Pelodiscus sinensis: one gene and its partner. The protein of the gene in region 1 interacts with the protein of each later gene in a pairwise test. Links are inferred from orthologs where the notes say so. Each region holds a gene or a part of one and is shown on either strand. Other genes may lie near its edges.

Evidence for each region.
Region 2: the proteins of RBBP8 (region 1) and RBL1 interact in a two-hybrid assay, tested with the Homo sapiens proteins (2 studies listed by BioGRID and IntAct). The link is inferred for Pelodiscus sinensis from reciprocal best matches to the Homo sapiens genes RBBP8 and RBL1.

The regions. Positions count from the first base shown.
Region 1 is NC_134712.1:78,289,560-78,304,772, reverse strand, and holds the start of RBBP8 (DNA endonuclease RBBP8), read left to right. Parts: upstream 1-7,100; 5' UTR 7,101-7,290; intron 7,291-15,213. UniProt on the Homo sapiens protein: Endonuclease that cooperates with the MRE11-RAD50-NBN (MRN) complex in DNA-end resection, the first step of double-strand break (DSB) repair through the homologous recombination (HR) pathway.
Region 2 is NC_134728.1:32,848,816-32,864,384, reverse strand, and holds the start of RBL1 (retinoblastoma-like protein 1), read right to left. Parts: upstream 7,601-15,569; 5' UTR 7,489-7,600; coding exon 7,366-7,488; intron 400-7,365; exon of another isoform or gene 398-399; coding exon 264-397; intron 1-263. UniProt on the Homo sapiens protein: Key regulator of entry into cell division. Directly involved in heterochromatin formation by maintaining overall chromatin structure and, in particular, that of constitutive heterochromatin by stabilizing histone methylation.

The DNA of each region.
Region 1 (15,213 bases):
TCTCAGTCAGAGGCCATGTCAGTGAAAGATTGGAGGTTTTTTTTTAATTGTTTGGTTGTTTCTCATTTGTGTGGCCCCCAGCTGATTTTTCTGTGGGTCAGCAGCCCGTGACTCTAAAAGGGTTCCCTTCCCTTGCCCTAGACCCTGCTGCCAAGAAATGTAGCAAATGTAGCTAAGGTGATTAGAGATACCATAGTACAGTGCTCACCAACCAGGAGATCAGGATCTACTGGTAGATCTTGGAGCCTCAGACAGGTGATCCTGACAGGTTTGGACAAGAGGCTATCAAGTGCTGGCATTTCAACTGCCCTTTGCCTTGGAGCTGCCTCCCGCCATCGCAGGGAGCCTCCTGCTTTCTGTGCAGGGCAGGGGAGGGAGAAGAGGAGCACTGATGTCAAGGTGCCCCCCTCCCACCCTGTATCCTGTCTCCACAGAGCAGAGAGGGGGGGACAACAGGGCTTGGGATGGAGTTTGCTGACTACTTTAGGGAGTGGTGCAGGGCCAGGGCAGCCCCACTGCACCACAACCCAGAAGCAGCCTGAGGTAAGCAGTGCTCAGTTGGAGCCCACATCCTGAAACCCTACCCCAATCATGAACCTTCTCCTACATCCCAAGCCCCTGCCCTAGCCCTGAGCACCCCTGCATCCAAACACCCTCCCAAAGCCTGCATCTAGAACCCCCTCCAACACCTCATCGGCTTGCCCCAAGCTCAGCTCAGAGCCTCTCCCACTCTCCAAATCCCTTAATCCATTACCAGAGCCTGCACCCCAACCCTCTGCTCCAACCTGGTGAAAGGGAGGGAGGATGGGGGAGGAAAGGAGGATGCAGTGAGCAGGGGTGAGGCCTTAGAAAGGAGGCACAAAGGAAGCGGGGCAACGGTATTTGGGTTTGAGGTAGATCTTAGATTGCACTTAAATTCAAAAAGTGATCTCATGCTTTAAAAGGTTGGAGACCACTGCCATAGTACATCCTGCTATGGTACCATGACTGTAAATTAAAGCTGACTTCCCAAGCAGAATAGTCAGGTGTGGCGAAATACCACTCATGTTTCCCAGAGTGGAAACTGGACTCAGTGTCTCTAATGGGAAAGTTTCTGATAAAAATTTTGGTGGTAATAAACAATTTTTATACTTACAAGAAAATCAAAATGTTTACTGTCAATGATTGCTAAAATGCTACATACTGCCTAAAAATTTTACACTTATTGTGGAGAGCAAATTTTAAAATCAGAAGTGTGAGTATTCATATTGGTAGCTTGATTCTAAAAGTCACACTTATCCAACTGGGGAGCAGAATCATACCGCAGGTGTAAACAGGCAAATTGGGGAACTGAGCCCAGAAGGAAGCAGTAGCTACACAGCATATTCCCACTTCCAATGGATTTCTCAGAAGCTCAAACCTACCTGAGGAAATAACAATACTCACATTGTGACTGCATTGCACTTCATTTTTTGATCATTAGAGCATTTAAAACATTGTAGTCTTATGCACACCATGGTAAACAGAGAGCATAAAAAAACCTTGACTAGAAACATGTAATAAATCACTTCAAAGTTAATTCTTTCCAGTGCAGGTGATAAGTTTATATTTTAACCATCAGTGAGGAAAATAAATCAGATCCATAAGGAATAATTACATTGCACATACCTGTGTGTGTTTTAACTGATTTGGCCTCAGATGGGAAGGGGAAAAATAAAATAGTATATTTATAACACTGTGTCAACAAAATTACTACACAATATCCTTGAACAGATCAGGCCTAAGCAACATCAGAATCACAGTTTCAAGAGCTGGATGAGGAGCTTACTCTACACCATTAATGTTAATTTTCAGTCAATTTGGAAGCACTGGGGAAGTTCCAGAAGACTGAATGAAAACTAATGTGGTACCAGTTAGTAAAAAGGGTAAAGAGGTTTACCTTGGTTAGCAACTATATTACCTTGTCAGTCTGACATCGATCCCAGGCAAGATAAGGCAGCAGCTGATCTGGGACCCGATTAAGAATTAAAGAAGGAGAATGCAGTTAATGCTAATTATAATTAATATTGGTTTATGGAAAATAGATCCTGTAAAAACTAACTTGATGTCTTTTGTGATATTAGAAGTTTGGTTGATAGAGGTAAGGATTGATATAATACACTTAGATATCTGTAAAGCATTTGACTTGGTACTAAACAACATATTGATTATAAAATCCTGGGAAGCAGTGTCCAGCATACAGCAGCTCCCACTGAGCCTTTTATTTTTAAATGAAAACTTAGTTTCTGAATCTACCCTGTGACCACATAAATATATGAAGTGACGGGTATTTGGCTCATGGATTGCATATTTGACACCACTGTTTTAGTAAGTCTTTAGATAAGCAATAGTACTTGCATTGCAGACTGTCCAGGGCAGGACACTTTTATCTAAACAAGTACCATTTGTCATAACATGGTAGCCTGAAGAATTATTTGACCATTGTGTCCTCAGCACACTCCAGATGAATATACAAGAGAGGTAGTGAAAATCAACAGGTTCACGAACTTACATGATGTAAGGTATCCAAACTGTTTATCTGACAGTTGGTGTTATTCATGGAAGTAGCTTTTCCAGATCCACTGCTGAGATTAGAAACGTTCAGATGTACATTTTCTGTGTTTTTATTGAATTACACTACTCCTTACGGAATTTAATTTCCTTTGAGGTTTATTTGCTGAAGCAGGATGTATAAGGAAAATAGCAGCAGCTTGCTAAATCAAAAGATCAAGCTGTCCTATTTAACTTATTTCAGTGATGGAAATTCTGATCAGAATGACTTTAAATAAAGTTATCCTGATATAGATGAAAGCTAGAAACAGATTTTGCACTGAAGACACACCTATTTTACAACTGCTAAATAAAAATGTTTGATAATAAAACACTGACTATATAGGAGTGCAGAGAGAGGTATGTGGAAATAGCCTAAATTCATTGCTGGTTTAACTCCAGTAAATGGTTTTACTCAAGAAATTAACTGAGCCCACCATAACTGTGCCAAAAGTTGGTTATTGCCCCCGTAGTGAAATAAAACTAGTGAGTACACAATGAAGACCAATGTGACCAAACTGAGTTCACTCTTTGTGAGACACAAGGATAGACTAGAATGATTGCAAAAGAAGGGAAGTATACTTCATTCTTCGAGCAAAGCGCAAAAGAGAATGTTGTGCAAGCACTGCATGTTTCTTTTTAATTATGGACTTCCATGCAAAATACAAAGAGCATTGTTCAGGGATAGAACACATGAGCTAGGGAAATTCCAGTTTCTCCAAGTTTTATCTGGGATATTGTTTTGTTCTGAAAGTGAGATGTTTTTTGAAACAACAGTGATTATCTGAGGATTAATATACCCACCTATATTTAAAAATATTAGATTGTGACTTGCAAGGTTGGTTAAAAGCAGATAAGCAGCTTTACAGATGCAATACAAATACTGTGTCACTAAACTTACTTTTATTATGGTAAATATAATTATATTCATTTAGCCTTACAAAAATGGTCATTGAAAAGAAGGCAAAAAGCAGAAAACTAAATGAGGAAATAATTTATCAGATTTCAGCATGGCCAAAGGCTAGCAGGGGGGAGGAGGAGGGTGTCCCAAGGTTCCATACTAGGACCAAGTTTGCTTAACACATTAATAAGCTTGAAAAAGGAGTGACCAGTGAGAAAGACAACTCAAAAAATATGAACTATTACCAGAAGAGGACAAATTTACAAGCAACAGGATTTTAAAATAGCTACCGAAGGAAGCACTAGTAGCTGCTGTCATATCCCTGAATAATAAGCATTGGTGTCCTCCTCTTATATAAACAAAGGAAGGTCAGATCTTGTCTCTACATGGCCAGGAGACCCTCAAGAAGAGCTCAAATCCTCTGGAGGTGGAAAGGGTCTTGGAATCTCTTTGGAGTAAATCCTCCAGGCCTGCTTCTCCTCTATTCCAAATCTGCCTTATCAACAGCCCACCAGAATTCTGTGCTGAACAGGGCTTGATATGCACTGTTGTGTGATAAACTCCTCAGCTCCTAACTTTCTCTACTGTACTAGATGAACTGCACTGATTCTGCTACAAGAGGACTCTCTGAATCTGCAGAGGAAGAGGCAGAATTGGAATGCAAACAAATAACATTTCAAAGTTTGTTTCTCTGAGAGGAAAAACACTCCCATTTTTCTTTCAAGCTCACTCCTGTGTTGCGAGTGGTGAAAAATGATAGTTCTCTTTTTCGGACTTGGCTTAATACATTACCACTGCCCAGCCCTGCAATACCTGCTCAAAAAAAAACTTAAGAAATTTTCATCAGCAAATGATGAGCAGTAGCAAATGCTGAATAGGGCCAAATCATGTGCATCTTCTGGAGTACCTTGAGGATTTCCCTGACTGTCAAGATTCCCTGTAGCAGAGGATTTCATCCACTTTGCTGCATCACCCAGGCTTGGGCCTGGCCTATTTAGCAGGTTATTCTCTATGCTGTAGTTTGCATCAAAATTCTCACTGCCCTTACTCTGCTACACAACTCATCATGAAGAGAGATCTTAAGCTAATTCTGATAGTGTTATTTGTGTGTGTGTTATCTGAATTTGTTCATGAAAATACTGAGCAGCTTTTGATAGCTACAGGGAGGTATGTTGTAAATTCTCTATAATGAATACTTGTAGACATGAATGTTTGCGCATACTTTTACCAGAAGAGCAAGTCTGCACCTGCACCATTTAGGTTGTTTTACTTTAGATTTGTGCCACTTGCTGAGTCTTTTATTCTTAGGAAGATTCTCTGTGAATGTTACATAGATTGGAAGAGTTTACAGAGGATCATTAGTGTGGCTTTAAAGGAGTGAAACTGGAGGGTGATAAACAACTGCAGGGAGGTTTTTTTTTTCAGTTTCAAAGCAACATTGCAGTGGGTTCAAGTTGAAGCAGTGTATCTCTGTGATGTCCCCTTACAGTAGTCTCCTTTATTACAAAGTACATCAAAAGGGAATATCTGAAACAAGAGAGGGGACATCTCAGGTTTCTCTGTGTGCAGGATGAAGCAATTGTGTTGCCTTCTTTAGTAGGAAGGAAAAACCAAGCACATTGTAACCTTGCAACATTGATTCCTGACAATATATTTTGGAGACCTGTTGTAAGTTAGTGGGTTTAGAGGAGAAGTCAGGTCATTGATTTCACAGTTCATTTTTAATAATCACATGTTGCCATGCCCCCTGTTTTATGTTTTGACTGAAATATGGCAGCACCAGATGCCCTTATCATATTTGGCATTATTTCATTACTACTCAGTGAATCACCAAAACCACTTCCTGCAGCAGATTTACCTGTAAATCTCTTACCCAATTACTGACCAAACCCAGCCCTGCCTAGCTGTATGAAATCATAGCCTGAGGTTGTGTGACTGCATGCATAAACAGTGCACATCTGTCATTTCAACTCAGATGTACTAATCTGCTTGCCTTCTTCACAGTTAGCGCCTACTTTCCAAGTCCTTTATATTTGCTTCTCTCTTGCACAGGAAAACGTGTATTTTCATAGGTCTCATACTAACACATCCATTCCTTTCTTGTAGCTCTCCTGATCTATGATTTAAAAAAAGCGGGGGACACATTACTCAAGGGTGGTTAAAAGGAGAGAGTAATTTTCTCTTCACTATCCACTATATTTCTAATAGCTATGATTAAAAAGGGGATCTACAGCAGTATAAATAAATAGTGGGGTTAGATCCCATCACAAACAAATCCACATCTGTTTCTAACTTAGGCCAGTATCTTTGTCCAGAAAGAATAGGATGATTTTTTTCAAACCAAGATACCTAATGTAAGGCCACTAAGTAAAAGTTAAATGAGCCTAAGTATGTGTTAACAGCCTAAATGTAGGTACCAAAGTACCAGATGGTTTCAACAAAAATACTGGACACACTTGACATTACATCACAATCTACATTACATCTTATTTAGAAAATACCGGACATTTATATTTTCTCATTTATATTTTCTCAATTTGTTTCCTGAACAGAAAGCTCAAATACTGGACTGTCCAGTTCAAAACCGGACACCTGGCAACCCTGTACCAAAAGTATATTTTTAAGGGTGCTGAGGCTCTCAATTCCCATTGATTTCTATGGAAGTTGAGGGTGGTCATCATCTCTGAATATCATGCCACCAGATTTGAAAATTCTGGCTCATATGCTTACTGGGAAGAACATACAGGTTTATAAGGAAGGACAACATTTTATTGAGAACTCCTGGTTCCCGCATGCATGCAGCTTGAACAAATATGACAAACTTGGGGCAGTTCCCCAAATATCCTGGTGGCTGGCAGCAAGAGCCACAGTAGCTCTGTTTGAATCTGTACCCTCTATATGGGAGGAAGATTGTCTCTGGCAAGTACGGAGGTTCTATATAATTATGGACACACTACCCATATCTGTCACTTCCCGACTTGCCTCACCTCCAAAACCCACCAGCACTGAAGCATAAGAAACCTGGCAGACCGATTTCACCAGATTTCCATGTGCAGGCCCTGAACATCCACTCTCCTCCCTCTCCTCCCCTGCATCACATTTGCAAAGAACAGTTTAGAATCCTTGAAGGGGTCTAGAGTAAAGTAGGATTTGGCCTTGATGTTTTGTTTGCTTGTGGTAAAGATTTACTGTCATCTAATTATAATACACCTATGTTATTTATTTAAAATAAATGGTTTTCTTCCCTGTTTTTCTCTGTATTGATGCCAATAAAAGGCAAACCTTTTACACTAGTGCATCTTCTACATATGTAGTGAAAGATAATTGAGAATAAGATCTTGCTGTAGGTGACATGGATATATCATACCCCCAGCCCTTGATAAATTATTTTGCTGGAGGCTACATCATTCTATTAAAGTAGTATGATGAGAGTTGATTGAAGCGTGAATAATTTACCATCTATAAAGCCTAACTGAACTGAGTTGAGCTACAGCATGTTGGGCTAGCCTTTGATGCAGACTGGTTGGACAGGTTCCTGGTCTGCTGAGGAACCGGTTTGACAGGCCTATTATGCCAACAAATTCTGGTATGATTCCATGTTCTACAGAATGTAGAAACCTGCCCAGCCAGTTAAATGAAAGACATATTAGGTTATCCATTGCACATTGTATGTATCTTAGGTACAGCAGATCTCTTCTCAGCATTCCCTAGTGTGGTCCACAGTCTGATATTTATGCCTGAGATTTATAACTTGAGGAAAAGTCAGCAGGAAATATTCAGCATTCCCAATCAAGAACAGAACTTTTCACACTTAAAAAAAGGTGAGTTTTAAAAGTCTTTTTAAAATGTTGAACTTGGGTAAGAAACCCAATTTAGAAAATCAATGTTACCACATTTAACTTAAAGATGTAGAGTTGCTGTTTCTTTTAATGCATCTAAATACCACTAACTCCAGCTTCGGTGGTTGTTGGTGACAACATTTTTGTATGTATAACTTTTGACACTTCTCTATGTAGCTGAACATCAGCTGTTCTGCCTATATAATATTTAATAGAGAGTGTCATCTATTAGACTAAATGCAGGAGTGGGAGACAAGTACTCCCTGAATCCCTATCGAGGTTCTGCAATTTACTTGGTGGGGGACTTGGAAAAGTCACTTATTTCTCTGTGTTAGTTTTCTTATTTGTAAAATGTGGTGATAATATCTAACTGTACTTTGCCACAATGGCCCTGTGCTATACAAGCACACAGGGTTGATACTGTTATATTGCTTCTTAGACCAACTTTAAAACTTTCCAGTTTTATGGAATAAGTTAATTCAAAAAGCTTGAGTTAGAATAACCATAACTGACTTAGTGGTCAACGTTAAGAAGCCTGCTGTTTCTTATATGTAAGACACTTACTTATTACACATCACAACATATTTAAAGTAATTCACAGTTGCAATATAAATAAAGCCCAAGTCAGAACTCCAGATTCATACAGCCCTGAAAATTGTGAGTGTCTGGAATCTGAGTATATTCACAGGTTGTGTCACATAAGAAGAATAAAAACAGTATAGAAAACAAAGGCTTATGGAATCTGGTCACTGATTAACTGCTGGCGCTCAGAAGTACTTAGCTGAATAGAAAGGAATGAAGACAGGTTTTGTCATGCCTGTTAGGACAAATAAGTCTTAAGCTGAAGTAAATGTGAATCTTCCTATCATCTATGTAACTTTACTTTTGAAAACAATCCTAAAACCACTTCCCTGTCCCTGGGAAGCTTATTTGAGTGTATCTTTAGAGAAATAACTACAGGTCTTACATGAGATCTAGTGAAACTTTTGTACCTAGTGGACTCTGTTTTGGAGCAGTTTATGGGAATGAGCTATACAGAGAATAGGAGAATTGAAAATAATCTCACAACAGGAATTCTCATCCTAGCGAATGTTTACTACATTGGAACTCCAGGTTGATATAAAAGTGAACAGTTATCTTTATTACTCTGTGATAGAATGTCAGTAAATAGGTGTCCTGAACATCACAAAAAATGCTGTGAATGGCAGGATGACCTGACCTTCTCGTTGGCAGCACCATGTCTTCTTGATAAAACAAGATGTTTTCTCCAAAGTGCGGGGAAAATGGAACAGCAAAAGGAAACGCTTCTCAGTCTCCTGGAGTGTAAGAATACTGTTTAGAAAAATTTATTCATTTTTAGAGGCTAAAAAATCTGTAAGTGTCCTTGCTGCTGAAAAAATTGTAAAAACATTAAGGGAATCTGTATATTAAGAATATTTTTCCAAAAATATAAATATTATGCCTATAGGCTACGTCTACATTGGCATGATTTTGCACAAGAACTCTTCTGTGGAAGTGTTCTTGTGCAAAAACTCTTCCAGAAGAGTGTCTACACTGGCATGTGCCTTTGCACAAGAGATGTGCTTTTGCGCAAGAACATCCATGCCAGTGTAGATGCTCTCTTGCGCAAGAAAGCTCCGATGGCCATTTTAATCATAGGGCTTTCTTGCACAAGAAATTCATGTTACCTGTCTAAACTGGCCTCTTACGCAAGAACAGTTGCGCAAGAGGGCTTATTCCTGAGCGGGAGCATCATAGTTCTTGCGCAAGAAGCACTGATTTCATACATTAGAATGTCAGTGTTCTTGCGCAAGAACTCGCGGCCAGTGTAGACAGTGTAGGCACTACAAAATCTTGCCAATGTAGACACAGCCATAGTGTTGGGTGGTAAGTTCACAAAGCACTTTTTCCGGAAAAGCATCCATGGCCAATGTAGACGAGCTTTTCCGGAAAAAAAGTCCCGATCGTCATTTTCGCAATCGGGGTTTTTTTGCGGAAAAGACTACTGTGCTGTCTACACTGGCCCTTTTCCGGAACAGTTTTTCCGGAAAAGGACTTTTGCCCAAACGGGAGCAGCATAGTTTTTCCGGAAATACACTGACAATTTTACAGTAGATCGTCGTCATTGCTTTTCCGGAAAAGCAAGTGGCCCGGTGTAGACACAGCCCTCTAGTTTATGGCAATTGCATGGCATTATTTTCTAGTAGACACATCATAGTGATGAGTGCTGTATAGATAAATCAGTGGTTTTCTTGTTCCACTTTAGGTAAGTAAGGGTATGTCTGCACTACAAAGAAGATTGAAGCTGCCACTGTTTATCTTTCAGGGTTCAAATTAGCTAGTCTAGTGAAGACATGCTAATTTGAACTGAGAGGAGCACTCCGGTCAATGTGGGTAGTCCTGCTTCCACAAGGATTAAGGGAAGTTGAAGGGAGAGTGTTCTCCCTTTCACTTCCTGCAGTGTGGACAGCTCCAATAGTCGAGTTAAGGTACTTTGAATTCAACTACGCAATTAACGAAGATGAAGTTGCACACCGTAATTCAACCTTATCCCATAGTACAGAGTAGGCATACCCTAAACTTGCAAAGTGCAGAGCACTGTTTGTGTAGTACTGAGCATGCTCAACTTCCATCGCAGTCAGAACCTAGCCTTCAACTCTTTAAATTCCCTATCTGTTAAATAACAGTGGTAAAACTTTGCAAGGTTGTTCTAAGGTGTAATTAATTAATTAATATCTCCCAAGCATTTTCAGATCCTTAGATGTCAACCACAATAGAAGTTCAAAGTATTATTATTGTGTTCTCCTCACAGCCGTGTATTACTTGTATATGCCTGCAGCACTGTTATATTGAAATGGCTATCATCAAGCAGAGTTCACACTGTAATATACTCTATAGTTTTGAGGGGGTTACCTTATAGACTATAAATTACGCCAGTAGCCCTTCATTTTCCAAAGTTAGAGCACTAGAACACAGTACAGTTTAAAAATTCCAATTAAATAAATCAGACTTTCAAATGATACTTTCCCACTCATTCAGAGTGCCTTTTTTTGGTTTGAGGGTTTTTTTGGACAGGTGAAAGGGAATGTTCCCTGTAAGCTGAGTGCTTGGGAGGCCACCCAGGAGAGAGTCAGGTGCCACCCAGCTGATTAGTAGAGCATCCATAGTCAGCAGCATGTGTTTCTATTTGTGGTGCACATCATGCCTCAGTGCACCTTACAAAATGTATTCTGCACGTGGATGGAAAAATTAGAGGGAATATTGGTGTGAGAGTGATGGAAAGGTAAGTATTATATAGTGGAGTAGGTTTTCCTGTTAAAGTTCTAACATCTTAATAAAGGATGAGAGTAAATGTTTATGATTTTGCAAAGCTGGGGTAAATCAAATCTGCCATTAGAACAACTGCACAGTAACATATTTTGCACTTTTGATTCTTCTCTCTGGTCTGTGTCTGATGTTAACATACACTATTATTACCAAAATCTGTCACTCTTCTACTTAGTCTTTGGATGAGGCATGCTTGCCAAATATTCCAAGTTAAGCTCCAATGGTAAGACAGAGGAATAATAATTGTGTAATCAATGAAGAGGATCAAACTGGTAAGGAAAAATGGGGATACGATAATGTAAATGGTTAACCAGTGAGCCTGGGCTTATTGGTAAACCTTCATGGTTACTTGCAGCTTTGCCTATTCCCCGTTGCCTCTATATCAGAGACAGCAGAGTGGGGGTTGAGCAGACAGTGTTGTCACCACTGGCTCCCACTTGCCACTCCACCCCAATGCAGCAGCACTCGGGGAATGGGAGCAGGCAGTGCTGCAGGAACCAGGACTTGCAGAGAGCCAGCTTAAAAGCTGCCTCCCCTCCACTTTACATGTAAACACATTTTAAAATCCCTACTCCTGGCAGCAGCTTTCACCTCTCACACTGATGGAGTAATTATGCTGATGAGACAGTCTCTCCCGTTCGTATAATGCATCTCCACCAACAGCATTATAGCATGGTAGTATTAACTTGCCCTTTGCTTTAAAAGTAATTATGGATCTGGTCCATCTAGCAAGTATAGTTATTCCTACCTTAAGTAATCACATTGAAATCACTGTAATAAGTGCTACACTTGGCATTGAGTATGTTCAGGTCTGGGTACTACATAACTGTAGGCTGATGATGCTACCTATCAGTGTTGGTAATGTAGGGCACATCTAAACTACATTCCTCTTTCGAAAGAGAAATGTAAATGAAGCCAATCAAAAACTCAAATGAAGCGTGGATTTACAAATCTTGTACTTCATTTGCATAATCGTGTGAGCATTTTTTCAAAAAAGGGTTTTTCAAAAAAGAAACTGCAGTGTAGATGGAGTTTTGGGGGGGAAAAAAACTTTTTCGAAAGAACCTGTACTCCTGAAAAAATGAATACAGGTTCTTTCAAAAAAGGGTTTTTATTTTTCCCCAAAAGAATCCCATCTAGACTGTGGTTTCTTTCTTGAAAAACTCTTTTTCGAAGAAGCACTCTCACGCGATTATGCAAATTAAGCACGAGATTTGTAAGTCCTCACTTCATTTGAATTTTCGATCGGCTTCATTTACATTCCTTTTGAAAGAGGAATGTAGTTTAGATGTGCCCGTAAAGTCCTATGACTTATGTTCATTAAACTGGCATGATATAACTCATTCCTAAGGCATGTGGACAGGGAGGGAACACCCATCCAGCATTTTCTCTGTCCATGTTTGTCCACTGTGCTAGAAAGAAAAATTGAAAAACTGATGCTGACTTGTCTTCAAAAGTGCTTGGAAAAACCCTGGAATAGAATCAAATGATGGTGGTGGAATCACTCCTTCCACCAGGAGCAACTGCTGTCAGTACCAGAGAGCTGGAAACAAGAACTCTATCTATCTGCTGCTTAACAGAGGAAATTGAGTGGCTCAGCGATTGCCAGTTTCTAGTCTGCTTGGTCAAATGCCATCTGCTGTTTCCATCACTTGATGGTTTGGTGATCTCAGTCCAATGCCCTGTGGAAAAAGACTAGCTACAAAAGCACCAATAGAACTGAGATTAATGGACATCCTTATGGACTGTCTTAATAGAAAGACCAAAGTATTAATTGGCCTGGAAAATGAATTACATATTTACCTTGGAGGTGGATCCTCCAGGTCAGGGAGGTCAAAACACACTGGAAGTGCAGTGGGAAGAAATGTACTTAACTTATGTGGATAAATAGAGTATTTCATTTGCTAGAGTGGTTGAGCCAGTGGCTTTTATGAGCACTAACATGCATACACACCTTTTAAAGTCAAAAGAAAGCATTTTAAAGGGCAAAATAAAATTCAAATGTGGATTTTTCCAGTTACTTAAGATATGTAATTCAAAGTTGTTAATTTTTCCATGTAAATTTAAGTTAATAAAAGCAAGGAATTCTGAGTTACCTGCCATAGCTGTACTGCACCCTCACCTTATCTATAGGTCCACGTAATGTTCTAAGAATGCCTACTAAACATTCATGCAGCACCTAAGCTACTGGTGCAATAACAGGCTTTTCATTATATTAGTGCTTCTAGGACCAATGAAAGAATAGTATTTCAACTAATAGCTTGACAAAATTGTTGGTAAATCCACCCAGTAACAAGGATACTAATATCTACTGTATATTTGAGAGACTATGTCTATGGGTATTTCTACACTAGCCCCCTAGTTCGATCTAGGGAGGCTAATGAAAGTGACCAAAATTGCAAATGAAGCACGGGATTTAAATATCCCGAGCTTCATTAGCATGTCCCCGGCCGGTCGCCATTTTAGAAATTGACTAGCCCGAAGAAACTGCCCGTGTCTACACGTGGCAGTGAAATGGGATTCCGAATTAAAGCCCTAAATCGAATTAGCTGTTATTCCTCCTGGAATGAAGTTTAACAGCTAATTCGATTTAGGGCTTTAATTCGGAATCCCATTTCACTGCCCCGTGTAGACACAGGCAGTTACTTCGGGCTAGTCAATTTCTAAAATGGCGACTGGCCGTGAACATGCTAATGAAGCGTGGGATATTTAAATCCCGTGCTTCATTTGCAATTTTGGTCGTTCTCATTAGCCTCCCTAGATTGAACTAGGGGGCTAGTGTAGACTTGCCCTGTGTGTCTGTTCAAAAACTGCTCCTAAATGTCTCAAAGGGGCAGCCGTGTTAGTCTGTAACTTTAAAAAAAAGAGTAGTCCTTTAGCTCCTTAGAGACTAACAAAAATATATATATGTATGACTCTGAGTATCATGAGCTTTTGTGGGCACAACCCTGAAGAAGTGCATTGTGCCCACAAAACTACGAAATTTTGGTATGTAGCTTCCTCTTATCATACCTTAAAGCAAGGTCAGAGTTTGCTTGCATCAAGAAAATGAGGGGTGCCTGGAATGGAACTGCTTCTCATAAAACCATACAGAAAAAGAGACAGAATCACTAGGCAGGTGAAATGGGCTGCCAGGGGGAGGGTGCCTCTCCCCAGTCTGGGACAACCCAAACCCTAAGCCTCTCCCCACCAGCTACCTTTTAGGGAGGGTGCTGAACCTCACCCTGCCCCGATTTGCATGGGAGTATTGCTGGCTGTTCCCGTTAGTCAGGAAGCAAGGGGAAAGTGCAGTTTTCTGCATTCCTCACTTTGGCTGGGGAGCACAGGGAACAGACAAACCTGAACCTGCCCAAGCCAGGGGACATGCACCCCTCCTCTAGCTGTGCCTGCTGGAGCTGCAGTAACCACAGAGAGGTGCTTCACACCTGGCCCCATGCTGCTGCAGTCAGAGAGAGCTGGGGTACTCCTCTTTCTCCTCTGGGCAGCTTGCATATTGAACTCCTCATCCCCAGCCCCACCTCAGAGGAACAATTCAAATGAAGCATGTACATTTTCATTTTCTTTTCCAAAAATCAAGTTAAGGACACCAGATAAATCTTCTAGTTAACCTATAACTGATAACTAACAGATCCATATTAACAGCAAGAGTAAACATCTTAGACCAGAGAGCACTCAACATTGGTATTTAACTAAATTCCACCTCCTGTTTCTGAGTTGTTTTTAGATAAGTATTCTAACACCAAGGTTAATGTGTCATGCAAAGGGTTCCTTTGTAATCTGGACATGGGCCATGAGTCCACAGAAACTTTTTAATCTGTTCAAGTGCAACAATGCTGGTCTGTTTTCCCACAGTTTTATTGTCTAGGTTTGCATATTTACTTGTGTTAGATGAATGATATGGCGTTCCAGTTAAACTAATTAATGTAAACTTCTAGTGTAAATTAATTTGGAATACCATGCTTTTCAGTAATGTAATTACTCAGGTACCTACTCAGTAAATTGTGGACAACTTTGTCACCATGGGTCAGATTTTTCTGCAGAAAATCGAATAAATGATTCATTAGTGGAAAGGTGATATGGGAGGGAAAATAATGTAATTTTCAAGCACTATTATACTTTAGTATCCGTTACTAAGAGTAACCCAAATTAAGTCAGTGCAGTTCAACTACCTTAAAAAACAGCAAGACTGCATCTAGACTGGCAAAGGAAAAACTTGCCAGCTGTCTATACTGGCCAGTTGAATTTCCGCAAGAACACTGACGATCTCATGTAAGATTGTCAGTGTTCTTGCGGAAATGCTATGCTGCTCCCGTTCGGGCAAAAGTGTAGACAATGCGGTATTGTTTTGCGCAAAAAAGCCCCGATTGCAAAAATGGCAATCGGGGCTTTCTTGCACAAAACCATGTCTAGATTGGCAAGGACACTTTTCCGCAAAAAGTTCTTTTGCGGAAAAGCGTCCGTGCCAATCTAGATGCTCTTTTCCGCAAATGCTTTTAACGGAAAAACTTTTCTGTTAAAAGCATTTGCAGAAAATCATGCCAGTCTAGACGTAGCCTAAGGGTACATCTAAACTACATG
Region 2 (15,569 bases), on another chromosome or scaffold:
ATGCAGGAAATCAGATACGAGGATTTTAACAGTCCCTTTTGGCCTTAATAGCTGTGAAAACTGGCTAATGTGCTGGATCTTATATTTATGCAATATCAGTGAAGCACTACTTCCAAGCTATGAGGAAAGTGCCATTCTGTTTTCAGCTAGAATATAAGTAAACCAACAATCAAAAGGGGAGCAATAAGGGAAAAGACACTGTAACTTCTCACAGGTGTTTACATCTCCAGTAAAATAAGTAAATACATGAAACCCAAGATTACCTTAGTTTGGCTGAACGTAGTATCCTAGTCAGTGAAACACAGTTTCCTTCCATAAGGCCACTTCCAACAGTGGGAATTATGCTTTTACGACAAGCAACATATAGAGCACAAGCCAACCAGTGCACCACATCTCCCTGTCAAACCAGAAGTAAACAATCAATGAACTAACCTTTTTAGTGCAACAACGCTCAATTGGCAGGCTCAGCTTTTCCTCTACTTCAAGTATCTCTAAAATCCTTTGGGACAATAACATTTCCTCAGGGTTTGATGATTGGTTTTTTAACCTGGCTGGAGCAAAGAAATCAAAACTGCCCAAATCAAATCACACCACATCTTCCTAGGCGTGGAGGGCTACCCTAAAAACTGAGACTACAAGGCCTGCAATATACCAGTAATTTTGCCCTAGTTCACACTGAACCACCACATACTGCAGAACCCTGAGGTCTCTGCTGACTACTCCTCTGTATTAAAGATAATAAATGTACTGTACAACTCTATGACACCACAATCTGGCCACTAAGCAGCTAAAAATGATCTTTTCTGCAACATCAGTGAAGCCAGCCCTGTCTATTTTATTCCCCTACTGGCACATTGACATGGAAGTTCTTCCTTGTTTCCTTACGACTGAAATGACCTCTCCAGACTTGTAAAAGTCATTTCAGATTTTCCAAGACCCTCTTCTACTAAGATGCCTAGAGTCAACTTCTACACTGACTTATCAGAAGACATCAGTACACACAATCCTTTGAAAGCTGCCTTTTATAAGTTATTTCTGAAGTACATAAGCAAATATTTTCAAAATAGAAGAATCACCATTCTAAAGTCTAAGCCTTGCCTTTATCTTATTGCTTGGACACAAAGATTAAGCAAGTCAAAATATCAGTTTTTAAAAAGCCCTCTTTAAACTATATCTCGACAAGCTCCTCAAACTCAGTAACTACAAGCTTCCCAAAGCTTAAATCAGGATGAGTATCAAACAATGCTTCTAGCCTGTCCCACAAGTAATAGCTGGTAAAGATAAGCCAAGAGACCTGTCCAAAGCAGGCATTAGCTTGCTGAGGTGATGTCTGGATTCCAAGAGGTCTTTGCTGGCTGGAAAAGGAGAAATCCCAGAAACACAGGATGATTTCTTCACCTCTGGCATTCCAGACCTAAGGGGCTTTCTTCTTCCCCTTTCGGGGGTTCCCATGGAGGTGCTTATACAGTAAATCTCACCTCCATGGGAAAGTTACACTTTTTAAACCTAAGGTGTGAATTTAAACTAGTACTGCTTGGACTCCAGAGAAAGTACACCAGAAACTATTTTAGAAAGCTAGTAGTGTTTGCGCAAAAAAGGCCAGGTCTAGACTATAAATAAGGTCCATACAAGCTTACATTAACCTGCTTGTGCTTTTATCTACACTTAAATTCATCCCTATTCCATGTGAATACGCTATTATGCAGACATAGGAACACCAGTTCCCTGAGAAACATAAAGTCACAGGTGATGTTCTTCAGTCAACACAGTGTGAGTACAGACACTGTGTTAGTTGAGTCAACCCTAACTGTCCCTGAGCAACCATCCAACAATGCTCCACACTTACTTCTGTGGTTATCATCGTGAACTCCACTGCCAGGGGTCACAAAGACTGAAAGCTCCCTTTTCCTCCTTAAAGCCCTGCAAATTTGGGGGATTCTGTTTCCTGATTACCTAGCTTGGCAAGCACACCTAGCAGCTTTCTGTTGAGTGTTGCCTATTTAACCATGCCATCTACACATTCCTGCCTAGAGCAGACAGAATATATTGGGTTCCTGGGCTCAAGGAGACACAAGACACAACTCTGATCCAACCACAGAAATGCTGACCTCTACCAGCAGATTGTTCAGATTTGGGAGAAGGGTGCCAAGAAGCTGCAGCAGCATACCAGAAGGCCAGAGGGGTCAATAATCAATTTTGTGCCAAGCCACAGACCTATTGCTTTTACAAAGAGCTGCATGCCATCCTTAGGGAAGATTGCACCACCATCCCCAACAGCATGCTGGCAGCAGCCTGAGTCACAAGCCCCTGACAGGAACAGCAAAAAGGAGGTGGTGCTGGATGAAGAGGAGGATGAGGGAGGGGGAACCAGGGCATTCAGCTGCACAGGGAGCCAGGACGTATACAGGGCATCCTCACTATGAGTCATCCCGGGATTCATCCATTCCACACTGAAGTCATTTGCGCTTGTAGGAACTGATGCATTATAAGTCCTCCTATTCCCTGGTAAGTCGTGCAAAAAAAATTTGTGCAAATGTAAGTCAGCTGTGGGAAAAAAATTCCCCACTTTAAGTTGTTTCACTACAAGTCCAAGTTTTTTTGGAATGTACCTTGGACTTACAGCAAAGACAGCCTGTATTTGACTTCGCCACAGTCCAGTATGAGCAAGCTCAATGCAGGGGAAAGAACCTCAGGTAAGAGTGCACATAAATTTTCAATTATAGGGTTGTCCTCTTTAAAAAAAAAAAAAAAAAAAAAAAAAAGGAGCAGGACCCAATCTTTTGTACTTTTAATTAATTTACTTATGCTAGAAGCTGCACTCCACCATCAGCAGCTATTTTGTGAACGCCACCAATAACCCTGAACTGGTTCTCATGAAGTCCCACAGCGGTCTGTCCTCCAAAAAATCATGTCCCCCACTGCTTGGTTTTTTTCAAGCAGCTCTGCAAATACTCCAGAATTCTGTACCTTGTGCTTGTAATGTTCATGACAATAGTGAAAAGCTATGCAGTGTCCATGGTTCTGTCAGAGATGACAGCAAAAAGGACCATATAGATTTGTGGGCTTTTGAAATACAGGTGCAAAAATTATGGGCTACCGATAAGCATCAGGAGATGAAGACAGCTGCAGACTACAAAGTGGACCCATGCTCCCAATCATCATATCATGACTCCTTTCAGCCCTATTAGGCATTGCCAAAACTTCTCAAGACAGTGCACTAGATGGAGGCGAGTCATACAGTGGAATTACCAACTTACAGTGCACTCCACTCTGCATTGATACAAGCACTCCTGGTGAGTATGAGCACTGTTGGCACAAGCAACCAAGTATGCACACACACAAGCAATGTATTAACAATTGCATCTATATGCTAATGTAATTTGACTCAATATAAGCTTGTAGTATAGGCATGGCCAAAATAACTCCTGCTCCATCAAACTATCAGTTACTGATTCTCTGCGCTAAACTAGGTTGGATCAAACTTGGCTGCTGCTCTAACTTATGCAAGGGAACAAGAGATCATATGCCAGATAGATCTAGGGGGTACTTAGCATGTTCTAGCAATTCCCACTCCCTGCTCCAGAAGCTACAGTAAGCTGTATTTGCATGTGATTTCTGTTCTCTCTACAAATAAGTGGTGAAAAGGGTAAAAAAACAGATAAAAACTCTGCCCCAAAATACTAATTGTGACTTCCAGCCATCTTTTAACACTTAAACTGAAAAAATAAGACACGACTGCTCTGATCTTTAAGATCATAGAATCATAGAACTGGAAGAGACCTCAGAAGGTCATCAAGTCCAGCCCCCTGCTCTAGGCAGGACCAATTCCAACTAAATCAACCCGGCCAGGGCTTTGTCAAGCCGAGACTTAAACACCTCTAGGGATGGAGACTCCGCTACTTCCCTAGGTAACCCATTCCAGTGCTTCACCACCCTTCTAGTGAAATAGTTTTTCCTAATATCCAACCTGGACCTCTCCCACCACAACTTGAGACCATTGCTCCTTGTTCTGCCATCTGTCACCACTGAGAACAGTCTCTCTCCATCCTCTTTGGAACCTCCTTTCAGGAAGTTGAAGGCTGCTCTCAAATCCCCCCTCACTCTTCGCTTCTGCAGACTAAACAGACCCAAGTCCCTCAGCCTCTCATAAGTCATATGCTCCAGCCCCCGAATCATTTTGGTTGCCCTCCGCTGGACCCTCTCCAATGCGTCCACATCCTTTTTGTAGTGGGGGGCCCAGAACTGGACACAATACTCCAGATGCAGCCTCACCAAAGCTGAATAAAGGGGAATGATGACATCTCTGGATCTGCTGGCAATGCTCCTCTTAATGCAACCTAATATGCCATTAGCCTTCTTGGCTACAAGGGCACACTGTTGACTCATATCTAGCTTCTCATCCACTGTAACCCCCAGGTCCTTTTCTGCAGAACTACTACTTAACCAGTTGGTCCCCAGCTTGTAACTATGCTTGGGATTCATCCATCCCAAGTGCAGGACTCTACACTTGTCCTTGTTGAACCTCATCAGATTTCTTGTGGCCCAATCCTCCAATTTGTCTAAGTCATTCTGTACCCTATCTCTGCCCTTAAGCGTATCTACCTCTCCCCCCAGCTTAGTGTCATCCGCAAACTTGCTGAGGGTGCAATCCATCCCCTCATCCAGATCATTAATAAAGATATTAAACAAAACCGGTCCTAGAACCGAACCTTGGGGCACTCCGCTAGAAACCGACCGCCATCCTGACATCGAGCCATTGATCACTACCCGCTGGGCCCGGCCTTCTAGCCATCTTTCTATCCATCTTACCATCCATTTATCCAATCCACAATCCCTTAACTTGCTGGCAAGAATATTGTGGGAGACCGTATCAAAAGCCTTGCTAAAGTCAAGGTATATAACATCCACTGACTTCCCCATGTCCACCGAGCCAGTTACCTCATCATAGAAGCTAATCAGATTGGTCAGGCACGACTTGCCCTTTGTGAATCCATGCGGACTATTCCTAATCACTTTCCTCTCATCCAAGTGCCTCAATATGGATTCCTTAAGGATCCCTTCCATGATTTTTCCAGGAACCGAGGTAAGACTGACAGTTTCCTGGATCATCCTTCTTCCCTTTTTTGAAGATGGGCACTACATTTGCCTTTTTCCAGTCATCCGGGATTTCTCCCGATCGCCACGCCTTTTCAAAGATAATAGCCAAAGGCTCCACAATGACATTTGCCAACTTCCTCAGTATCAAGATCATCCTAGCACCATGTGAGAGCAGACGCATATACCCACTTTGGTTTTCCCACAAAGAATAAGAGCCAGATCAAATCCTCCTATTTCTTAAACAGGCGTTTGTTTAAATATAAATATCTTTTTCATCATGGGAAGAAGTGTTTACTGACCATTCCAGAAGACAAGTGAATTCAGAAGGGATTAATTCAGTGTTTCTCAAATGCTGTCACTGTGGCTGCATGTGGCCACCAGGGGCTTTTCTTGTGGCCACAAGCTCCTAGGTAGTGATATGAGGGGGAAGGAAATAGCAGCCCATCTCCAAGGGTCACCAACAGGGGATGAGACCTGTCCCCTTCTGGAGTCAGAAATGCTGTAGGAGCAGGAAGCCAGAGAAAATTCCCCTATTTTGGCACCTATTTGGCTCTGGGCCCTGGTCACTGGGCTTTGGCTCTGACCTTGGGCTTCCAGCATTGATTCCAGGCTTGCCATGCCCCAATCAATACTGGCCCCCATTGTCTCCCCAACTCCTCACCCCCACCAAATTGCCCCTCGTCCTTGCTGCCTTCCAACCTACCTCCCTATCCAGGGCTTAATGTGTCCCCCAACCTGCTAGGCCTGAGTAATCTGCTGCGAAATTGGTTTTGTATGTTTAATATCATTTTCCACTGCCTCCCAGCTTGTAAGCGAGTCATTCTGTGGAAAATGATATTAACAAACATAAAAAGAACAGAAGACTTACTAGAATTTACAAATCTAAAACAAAAAAAACAAAAGAAACACCAAAAGACAAAAACATGCAAAGGATCTTATTTTTGTTTCTATTCTGTTTACGTCCAGTGAAAAATGGAGAAAACTGTACATTAATTTGATTATTGACTGAGGGAAAAAACCTTACATAAATAAATTAGTGATTTGGACATGTATATGTGCATATTTGTTTTTCCTAAAGTTAATTAAGTACAGTGAAAGCTTATCTGGACTTTGTTAACTGGAAAATTGTGTTAACCAGCATTGCCCCAGCCACATCTGCTGGCTCACACCTAACTCTCACCAGTCCAACTGGCGGTTGCAGGACTACTGCCTGCTGGCAGACATCATCAGCAGGCATCTCCTTCTCCCTCAGCCTGCCTCCAGCTGGATCTGCCAGCATGGGGTGGGAATGGAGCAATAAGCTGAGTATTTGGCACATTCAATTAACAGGTAACCCCCAGCTCCATTTGTATCTATGGTTGTGACTACTTTCTTCCACTATTTGATCTGAGGAAGTGGGTCTGGCCCACGAAAGCTCATCATCTAATAAACCATCTTGTTAGTCTTTAAAGTGCTACATTGTCCTGCATTTTCCCCCAGCTCCTCTGAGTGCTGGATAACAAAGCTTTCACTGTATTTTAGAAAAAAATGTCAGTGTTTCTATGAGCAAGAGATGGTGGCTGCAATCTGAGGCCACCAAAAAAGTGTTGTGAGATGCTCTGGATGAACTGCTCCCCAAAACCTCAATGACAAATGAAGGGAGCTGGGAGGGGCCGCAGTTGGATCCCAGAAAGGTACCACTTGGAAAGCGAGTGTGAAAAGACTTTAAACGCACAGTGACTCACTAGCCCTTCAGGACTGTTGACGTTTTAAAGTTAATTCGGGTTAAGTAGGGTGTGAATTTCAGGTGCAAAACCTCCTGAACCGCTCCAAGGCTTGTCCCAGAACAAGGCATCGAACGTGGGCTGCAGCCCTGAACGGCTGCTCTGCATTCGGTGTCTCGGGCTGACTGCACTGCTCCACCGCCCGGCTCTGCTGGCAGGGCTGGGGCAAGGGGCTGCCATGCCGGGGCTTAGCTCGGGGCGAAGCACAGCTAAGCGGAGGGGGGTGTGGAGTCCTCATGCCAGGGGCTTAGCTGGGGGGGCCTGGCATGGCCCGGGGGGGGGGGGGGAGGCGCTTAGCGGAGAGGGCGGGGCTTAGCCTAGGGGGTGGGGCCTGGCATGCCCCGGGGGCGGGGCATAGCTGAGCGCGGGGGGGGGGGGGGGCAGTCACGCTGGGTGACCCCGAGGTCCGCTGTGGGTGCGGGCTGCACCGGGCCCCGCGGGCGAGGCCCTGCACCCGAGCCAGGCCCGCGCCCCAGCCCCGCCCCCCGCGCTCCCCGGCGCGCACCTCCAGGCTGTACGTGCCCCGCAGCGCCCGGAAGTCCCGCAGCGCCCCGGCGGCGCTGGCCGCGTCCAGGTTGAGCTCCTGGCAGAGGCGCTCGATGGCGGCTGCGGCCTCCTCCCGGGCCATGGCGGCTCCCGGCGGCTCCAATCCCACAAGCCCTTGCGCGCAGCGCGCCAAAACCGCTTCACCGCCGGGCCTCGTTACGCGTCTCCCTCCGCCCGCAGCGACCGCCCGCCCGCCGGCCTGAGGAGCGGGGCTGCCGGCCCGGGCTGCCCGCCGCCTCCCTCCGCCTGTAGCGCCCCGCCTCCTGTCCCTCCCGCCGCCTGTCCCTCCGCCTCCCGCCGCCTGTCGCGCCCCGCCGCCTGTCCCTCCGCCTCCCGCCGCCTGTCGCGCCCCGCCTCCTGTCCCTCCCGCCGCCTGTCCCTCCGCCTCCCGCCGCCTGTCGCGCCCCGCCGCCTGTCCCTCCGCCTCCCGCCGCCTGTCGTGCCCCGCCGCCTGTCCCTCCGCCTGTCGCGCCCCGCCGCCTGTCCCTCCGCCTCCCGCCGCCTGTCGCGCCCCGCCGCCTGTCCCTCCGCCTGTCGCGCCCCGCCGCCTGTCCCTCCGCCTGTCGCGCCCCGCCGCCTGTCCCTCCGCCTCCCTCCGCCTGTCGCGCCCCGCCGCCTGTCCCTCCGCCTCCCTCCGCCTGTCGCGCCCCGCCGCCTGTCCCTCCGCCGCCTGTCGCGCCCCGCCGCCTGTCCCTCCGCCGCCCGTCGCGCCCCGCCGCCTGTCCCTCCGCCGCCTGTCGCGCCCCGCCGCCTGTCCCTCCGCCGCCTGTCGCGCCCCGCCGCCTGTCCCTCCGCCTCCCTCCGCCTGTCGCGCCCCGCCGCCTGTCCCTCCGCCTGTCGCGCCCCGCCGCCTGTCCCTCCGCCGCCTGTCGCGCCCCGCCGCCTGTCCCTCCGCCTCCCGTCGCGCCCCGCCGCCTGTCCCTCCGCCGCCTGTCGCGCCCCGCCGCCTGTCCCTCCGCCGCCTGTCGCGCCCCGCCCCGCCGCCTGTCCCTCCGCCTCCCTCCACCTGTCGCGCCCCGCCGCCTGTCCCGCCGCCTGTCGCGCCCCGCCGCCTCCCGCCGCCTGTCGCGCCCCGCCGCCTGTCCCTCCGCCTCCCGCCGCCTGTCATGCCCCCCTGCCTGTCCCGCCGCCTGTCGCGCCGCGCTGCTGGTACCCCTAGTTCCATGTGCCTGGCCTAGGGCTGTGCTAACGACGCTCAGCGCAGTGTTTCCCAAGTGGTGTTCTGCAGATCCCCAGGGTTTCGTGAGAAAATTCCATCACAGCAACATTTTATCATTTAAAAAATAATTAATATTTAGGCATTTTATTGAAAACAATTGTCATTTGTGTTGATCTCATGCCTTTGATTAGCATGTTTATTATCCTTACTTAGTTGTGGTTTATTTTTCATCTCTCTATATAAGACTTTTATTAGGGGTTCTGCAAAATTCTTTTGAGTTTAAAAGGGTTCTGTGGCCAAATAAAATTGGGAACCACTGCCTGTCCCTGCACCCTGTAGGGATGTGCTACCAGCAGCCCCTAGACATGCCCTGTGTCTGCACCCTGTAGGACTATCACTAGCAGCCCCTACACACGCTGGCTGACTGTCTCTGCACGCTGTAGTGCTGCACTACTGGCACCCCTAGACATGCTGACTGCCTGTCCTTGTGCCTTTAGGGTTGTGTTACCAGTACTCTTAGGCACACCAGCCACCAGTCCCTTTGCCAGTAGGGCTGTTCTGCTGGTACCCTTAAATACCAGCAGCCGCTTTTCTGGAATAACTTGCCAGCTATCTACACTGGCCGCTTGCTTTTCTGGAAAAGCAGTGACAATCTACTGTAAAATTGTCAGTGTTTTTCTGGAAAAACTATGCTGCTCCCGTTCGGGCAAAAGTCCTTTTCTGGAAAAACTGTTCCGGAAAAGGGCCAGGGTAGACAGCACAGTAGTCTTTTCCACAAAAAAGCCTCGATTGCGAAAATGACAATCGGGGCTTTTTTCCGGAAAAGCGCATCTACATTGGCCATGGACGCTTTTCCGGAAAAAGTGCTTTTCCGGAAAAGCATCCTGCCAATGTGGACGTGCTTTTTCCGGAAATACTTATAACGGAAAACTGTTCCATTTTAAGCATTTCCGGAAAAGGGTACCAGTGTAGACGTAGCCCAGCTGCTTGTCCCTGCATCTATAGTGCTGCACTGCCAGCAGCCCCTAGACACGCTGTCTGCCTGTCTCTGCACCCTGTAGGTCTGTGCTACCGTATCCCTAGACACGCCAGCTGCCTATCCTTGCATCTGTAGGACTACCGGTACCCTAGACTCGCTGGCTGCCTGTCCTGCCTCCTTGTAGGTCTGTGCTATGTGCAACCCCTAGCTATGCTGGCTGCCTGTCACTGAGCCTGTAGAGCTGTGCTACTAACAGCCCTTACTGGTCTGTGCAGCTGTGAGAAGATGCTATGCCAAGCCCTTGCTACCAGCAGTAGGCACAGCCCTATAGGGAGCAATGACATGCAAGGTATCTGTCTGTAACTGCTCTTAATAGGGCAGCCTCTGGTCATCCTATACTGCTGCCTCCCCCATCCTGACTATATAGAGTAATTTACTACGCCGCCCTGGCTGCCACCTGCCCTGCGCCCAACCCTGCCCGTATGCTAACTTATCCTGTGTGCTTGCTCTTGCTTCAGTATGCGGTGTGTCTACCCTGTAGAGTTGCTGAGCATCCTCAAACATCAAGACTTGAGAACAGTTCCTTGCTACCGGGCACTGGATTGACCCTCACCTCCTGGCTTTCTTCATCAGCCTGTGTCTGGGTATCCATGACAGGTATTTCTGTCCCTTTTTAACCACCTGTAAAAAGCAGCCAGCAGGGCAAAGGGCACTGGCTTCAGCAGAGCTACTGAGCATGCTCAGTGTCCTCCAGGCGCACATTCCAACAGGGAGCTGTTCTAGGGGTAGCCCTGGGACCTTCCCCTCTGCACCCTCTGCCCACTGGCAGCACTGGCCCCTCCCCAGGGGGGGGGGGAGCTGGGAAGTATTTTGGCTCCCACTCTGGAGACAGACACACTCCTCCAGGCTGGCGTGCGGTTGGTGAGCGTATAAAAGGCTTACTAGTGAAAGCTGGCGCTGGCTGCAGCTCGCCCCCCAGCGCTCAGGGACGTATGGGACAGAGTGAAAGCACTCCTCACTGAAACCACTGTGACTAACGCATGTTTCATTATTGCCACTGTATTCTCCTTGGAACAGGGCTGGGAGCGCCACTGGGATCCCTAGGATGCCAGGGAGCGAGAGCAGCCAGAGATTGTGGCAGGAAACAGACACAGAAGTCAGCAAATTCTGCATAAAATTCAGCGGGTGGGCAATAAACAGGGCCCCATGCATAAACTAGGGATGCAAAATCCCATTTAATTGGGTAACCCGTCAACCATTATGTTTAACCGGTTAACCAACTATAGGCGGGGGGAGGGGAGAATGGAGCCGGGCTGGAGCCACCCCCTGCCATAGACAAGGGCCGCTCTAGCCAGCTGGTTGGCGCATGCCCTGCCTGTGGCAGGGAGCCAAGCCAGGCCCACCACAGACAGGAGCTGATCCAGCTGGCTGATCAGAGCACCCCCTGCCCGTGGTAGGCCCTGTGGGCTGGAGCAGCTCCCTGCCTGTGGAGGGCAGGGAAGAGCTGTTCTAGCTCCTATCAGTGAGGTGGAACTAGTGAGCATCACCCATTGAAGAGCAGGGAGACTGGATGGAGCTCTTGCGTGTGTAGGGGGGGTGTCTTAATATGTGGGATCAGTGATCCCTGGCTAGTGAGGCGGGGGGAGAAGTGAGCTACTAAAGGGCTGCTTTTCTAGACTCTAGAGATGTCTAGGGTTGCCAGGTGTCCGGTATTGAACCGGACAGTTTGGTACTTTTGTCTCCTGTACGGTAAAAAACTTCAGAAAATACCGGACACCTAAAATGTCCAGGACTTTCTGTTTTTTTTCCCCCGGCCAGGAGGCAAAAATCCCTGGCTGTCCGGCTCAATACGGAGGCAGCCTGACAACCCTAGTGCTTACCAGGTTCCGCAGAGGAGCTGTCCAGCCCCACACAGGGAGGCAAGATGGCGGGTGGCTGCCGGCAGCCTGGTAGGGCCAAAAAGCCTCACGACACGTTTCTTTCTTTTTTTTTTTCTTAACAACTCTTGGGGTCCTTTTTTTCTGTTCAGTATTTTTTCTGAAACCATTTGGCAATCCAGATGTCTGACAGGAAGGTGTAATGGGGGTGCCACTCATCTCGTATGCGCAGCCAAGTACCTGCATGTCCTGCTGTGGCCACCCTCCTGCAACCCAGCTCTCCAGCCAAGCCTGAGCCTCCAGCTTCCACAGAGAACTGCCTCGCTCTGGTGCAACAGCTTCCTTTTAATTGGCTTGCTGGGCCCTCATTGGTCAGGTCCTTTGTGCCACCCTATCTTTCCTGGAGGACTTCTCTGTGGTTTGCTTGGCAGAGTATGGTAAGGCCATAAGCCTCCAGCAGGGGCCGTTGGAGCCTGGTCCACCACGGCATCTGCTAATGTGGTTCTATATCAAGTGCATTTTATTTGCACACTTCACATTGTTGAGTTTACAGCAATGTTTTTCTCATTCCCACTGTTCTGAAAGCTATCAGATCTGCCAAGCAGCAGTTTAAAAGAGGGTTAAAGGTGAATATGAATGGATGCCACTCAGCATGCTGGGAATTGAAGGGAGTTGAATGGACAGAAGTAGGGATGTTAAATTTAGGTAATTTTAGTATCGAGTAGTGGATAGAATTTTTACTGAGTAATTGATTACTCGATAGGGGCAGGCAGCATTGCTCAGTCCACATCACGCGGGACCAACCCCCGCTGTGGCTTTGCAATTTAAAAGGCAGTAGGGGTCGGGCTCCCTGGTGGGAGCAGGGACTGAGTCAGATTATCTACCCACTTGGCTCCTAAATTTAGTAGGAGCCAGGTGGGCAGGCAGTCCAGCTCAGTGCCTTTTCGACCAAACTCCGCTGTGGCCTTGCAATTTAAAACACAGCAGGAGCCGGAAGGCAGGCTGCCTGACCCCTACTGCCTTTTAAATTGCAGAGCCGCCGCGGGGTTTGGTCCCGTGCGATGCGGGACTGCCCAGCCGGTAGCAGCCCCTGTCTGTGGGGCTCCCCGTGGGAAGTTGGGACTCCACATAGACAGGGGCTGCTGCCAGAGCAACCTCCCCTGCTCCTCTCCCCCTGCTGTCGCTGCTATGGGGGGGATGCGAGTAGTTGACTCGACTACAGATAAGCTTAAGCTTATCGGGTAGTCGACTAATCGACGGCTCTCTTACTGCCCTGGGCAGAAACAATGAAATCAAATGATTTTTCTAACATAAAAAGGTGCAGGAAATAGATTTTTTAAAAATAAAAATCAAACTTGCTGCTGAATGAAACTTTCCCACTGAAGCGGAAGAGCAGAGCGTTGGCAGTTTGATGATCCTGCAAGTGAAACATTTTTGTGTCACCATCAACATCAGTGAAATGGAGCTGGGCCCATTTCCAGCCGCCTTCAGCATCAGTTCAGTCAAGGAGCTGCTTCTCTTCAAACTGTCGTGATAATTTCAATGGAATAAATGGTCTCAGCACAGAACAGTCACGTCTCATTGGTTGTTCAGAGAACAGCATTTGGCCTGCTTAGTCTATAGCAATAAGCACCACTAAAAATGGGTATAACTTGAAAAAAATACAGCAAACGGACAAACCGTATTTTAAAATGGAGAATATGAAAAAAGGCTTTTTGTTTTACCAACACCCTTAGTCCCTTTCTCTTTCACTACAGAGAGATTTTATCGAGATTTCCCAGTTTGACACCATTCTGGGCTTGTCTGTGCAAACAGTGTAACGCAAGCTGGGGTGACTCCGCCATGCACTGACTGTCCATTGGGTACCTCACTGACATGCACAAGAAGTTCTGGTATAAGATGTAGTCTACTCTTGTGTCTGTTTTCTATCTCTAGCCCGTCCGATCAGGGCCGCTCTCAAAATCAGGAGGGCAAAGAGACAACTGCATCACTGTGGGCTGAGGAGTGGCAGGCATGCTGGTAAAGTCCTTTCAGTTCACCCTGTCCACAGTGTTTGGATCCACCCACAAACGCTTTTTTTTAAAGACCCAAAAAGGGTGTGTTAGGTGGAATCCTCTCAGGGCTTTGTCCATCAGTTACCATCACATCCATTTTGGTCCATTTAGTTCTGGTTCTGTTTTGGTTGTTTCCCACGTATGATCTCAACACAGTCCTTGGATGGTAGCAGTAGAGATCTTTCTGTTTGGACTAAAACAGTCGTTTCCCATTTGTAGCTTTTCTAAACCATTTGATGTAAAAATCCAAGCTGGACTTCTGTTCCCTTGGACAATTTAGGGCACAGGCCTCTGTGCAGCAGCATCCGAAAACTTTGCAGAGCAATTGGCAATTGTCATTAAAAGAAAAAAACACAAAAGACCAGTTTAAAGAGAGGATTATCTGTGGGCGTGTGTCAGGGCTGTTCCCCATCCTCGCACGTCGAGTGTGAAAATAGACAAGAGACTAATATACCCTGCTGCTAACGGCTGCTGTTTAAAAATTCCCCAAGGTCACAGATTCCCTGGCCTTGGGTGGTATCGTTGGCACCATCTAAATCCAGCCCCTCCCCCTTTGAAAACCCAGGAAGACTCCTTTGGGTACCCTCAAGCTCTTTAATCATCCCCTGGAGAGAGCTTGGAAAAATACCTGTAATTGTCTTCAAAGACTGCAAGGTCAGCTAAGGCCTGTGCACAGAGACCCTCCTGCCTTCTAGGACACAAGGATCAGAGCATGGTGATTTTTAGTCACAAAACAAAGGAAACGCGCTTGGTGAAACATCCCCTGGCTGCGAGGTGCGACAGCAGCTGGGTAACGACAGCGTAAAGCACAGAGAATTGGTTCCCTGGGAGTCCGGTGGCAAGTTCCCTGCTGCCAAGGCCACACTGGTGCGACGAGAACACGCTGCGAGCGCTCTTGCTTGGCCTTGCCCGGAACCGCGGGGCTGAGTGGGCATGAAGGAGGAAGGCAGCTCCCAGGGACCTTGCGACCACTCGGGCAGAAGCTGTGACACTGTGTTCTGCCCTGTTGCAAAGAGGTCCACTTGCGGCAGGGCACGGCCACGACTTTCGGATGAAGAGCCCACTCATGGTGAGAAAACTCCCTGCCCAGCTGATTGGCCAGGAGGTTTCCTGCGCCCGGAAGGGGACGGGCCTCCAGATGAATGTCATGCTGGATGCAGAATTGCCAGGGGCAAACCGCCTCTGGACAGAGTGTGGCTGCCTGGCCCCCCCCTTCTCCCTGCGGTTGACATCATGGCCACGTTGTCCATGAAGATTTGGACACCCTGCCCACCAGGTGAGGGAGGAAGATGTTGCATGCCCTACGAACGGCCCGGAGAGCACTGAGATGGGCGCTTCAGCCCAGGCCCAAAGCATCTGCTACCACTTGGAGGAAGTGGGGAGGCGCTTGGCGCTGGAGTTGCCATCGAGAAGCCATAGGCCAGGTAAGGGTAGATCTGCAGCCCTGGCCTCTGAAGGTGGGCGCCACCAACAGGTGTTTGGTGCAAACCTGAGGGGCTGTGGCAAGGCCAAGTGGGAGGACTGCAAACTGGCAGCGATTCGCTCCCACCACGGTACGCAGGAAACGACTGTGACCCTCGGCAATGTGGCAGTAAATGTCCTTGAGATCGAGGGCAGCGCACAAAACGCCCGGATCCAGGGAGGGAACGAGAGGTCAGGGAAACCATATGGAAGCTCAGCCTCATCAGGTAGCGGTTCATCCTGTGCAGGTCCCAAATGGGCTGGAGCCCCCCTCTCACCCGGGGGGACTAGAAAGTAGTGGTAATAAACCCTTGGTTCCAGTAGCATTGTGCAACTTCCTCCATTGCCTCCGGTCTGAGCAAGAGCTTGGCTTCCTGTAGAAGGAGCATCTTGTGGGCAGGGTCCCTGAAGAGGGATGGGGAGGGGGACCGGGGAGAGGAGAGTTGGTGGGTATAACCCTGCTGCACCGTGCAGAGGACCCAGCAGCCTGTGGTGACAGAGTGCCAGGCTGGGAGGAAAGGTCACAGGGAAAGGATCCGACCGTGTGAGAAGTACGTTGTCCTCGATGGGACCCTCAGAATGGTTGCTTAGAGGCAGCCTTAGGACAGAAGCAGCTGGGCTTGGACTGTCTCT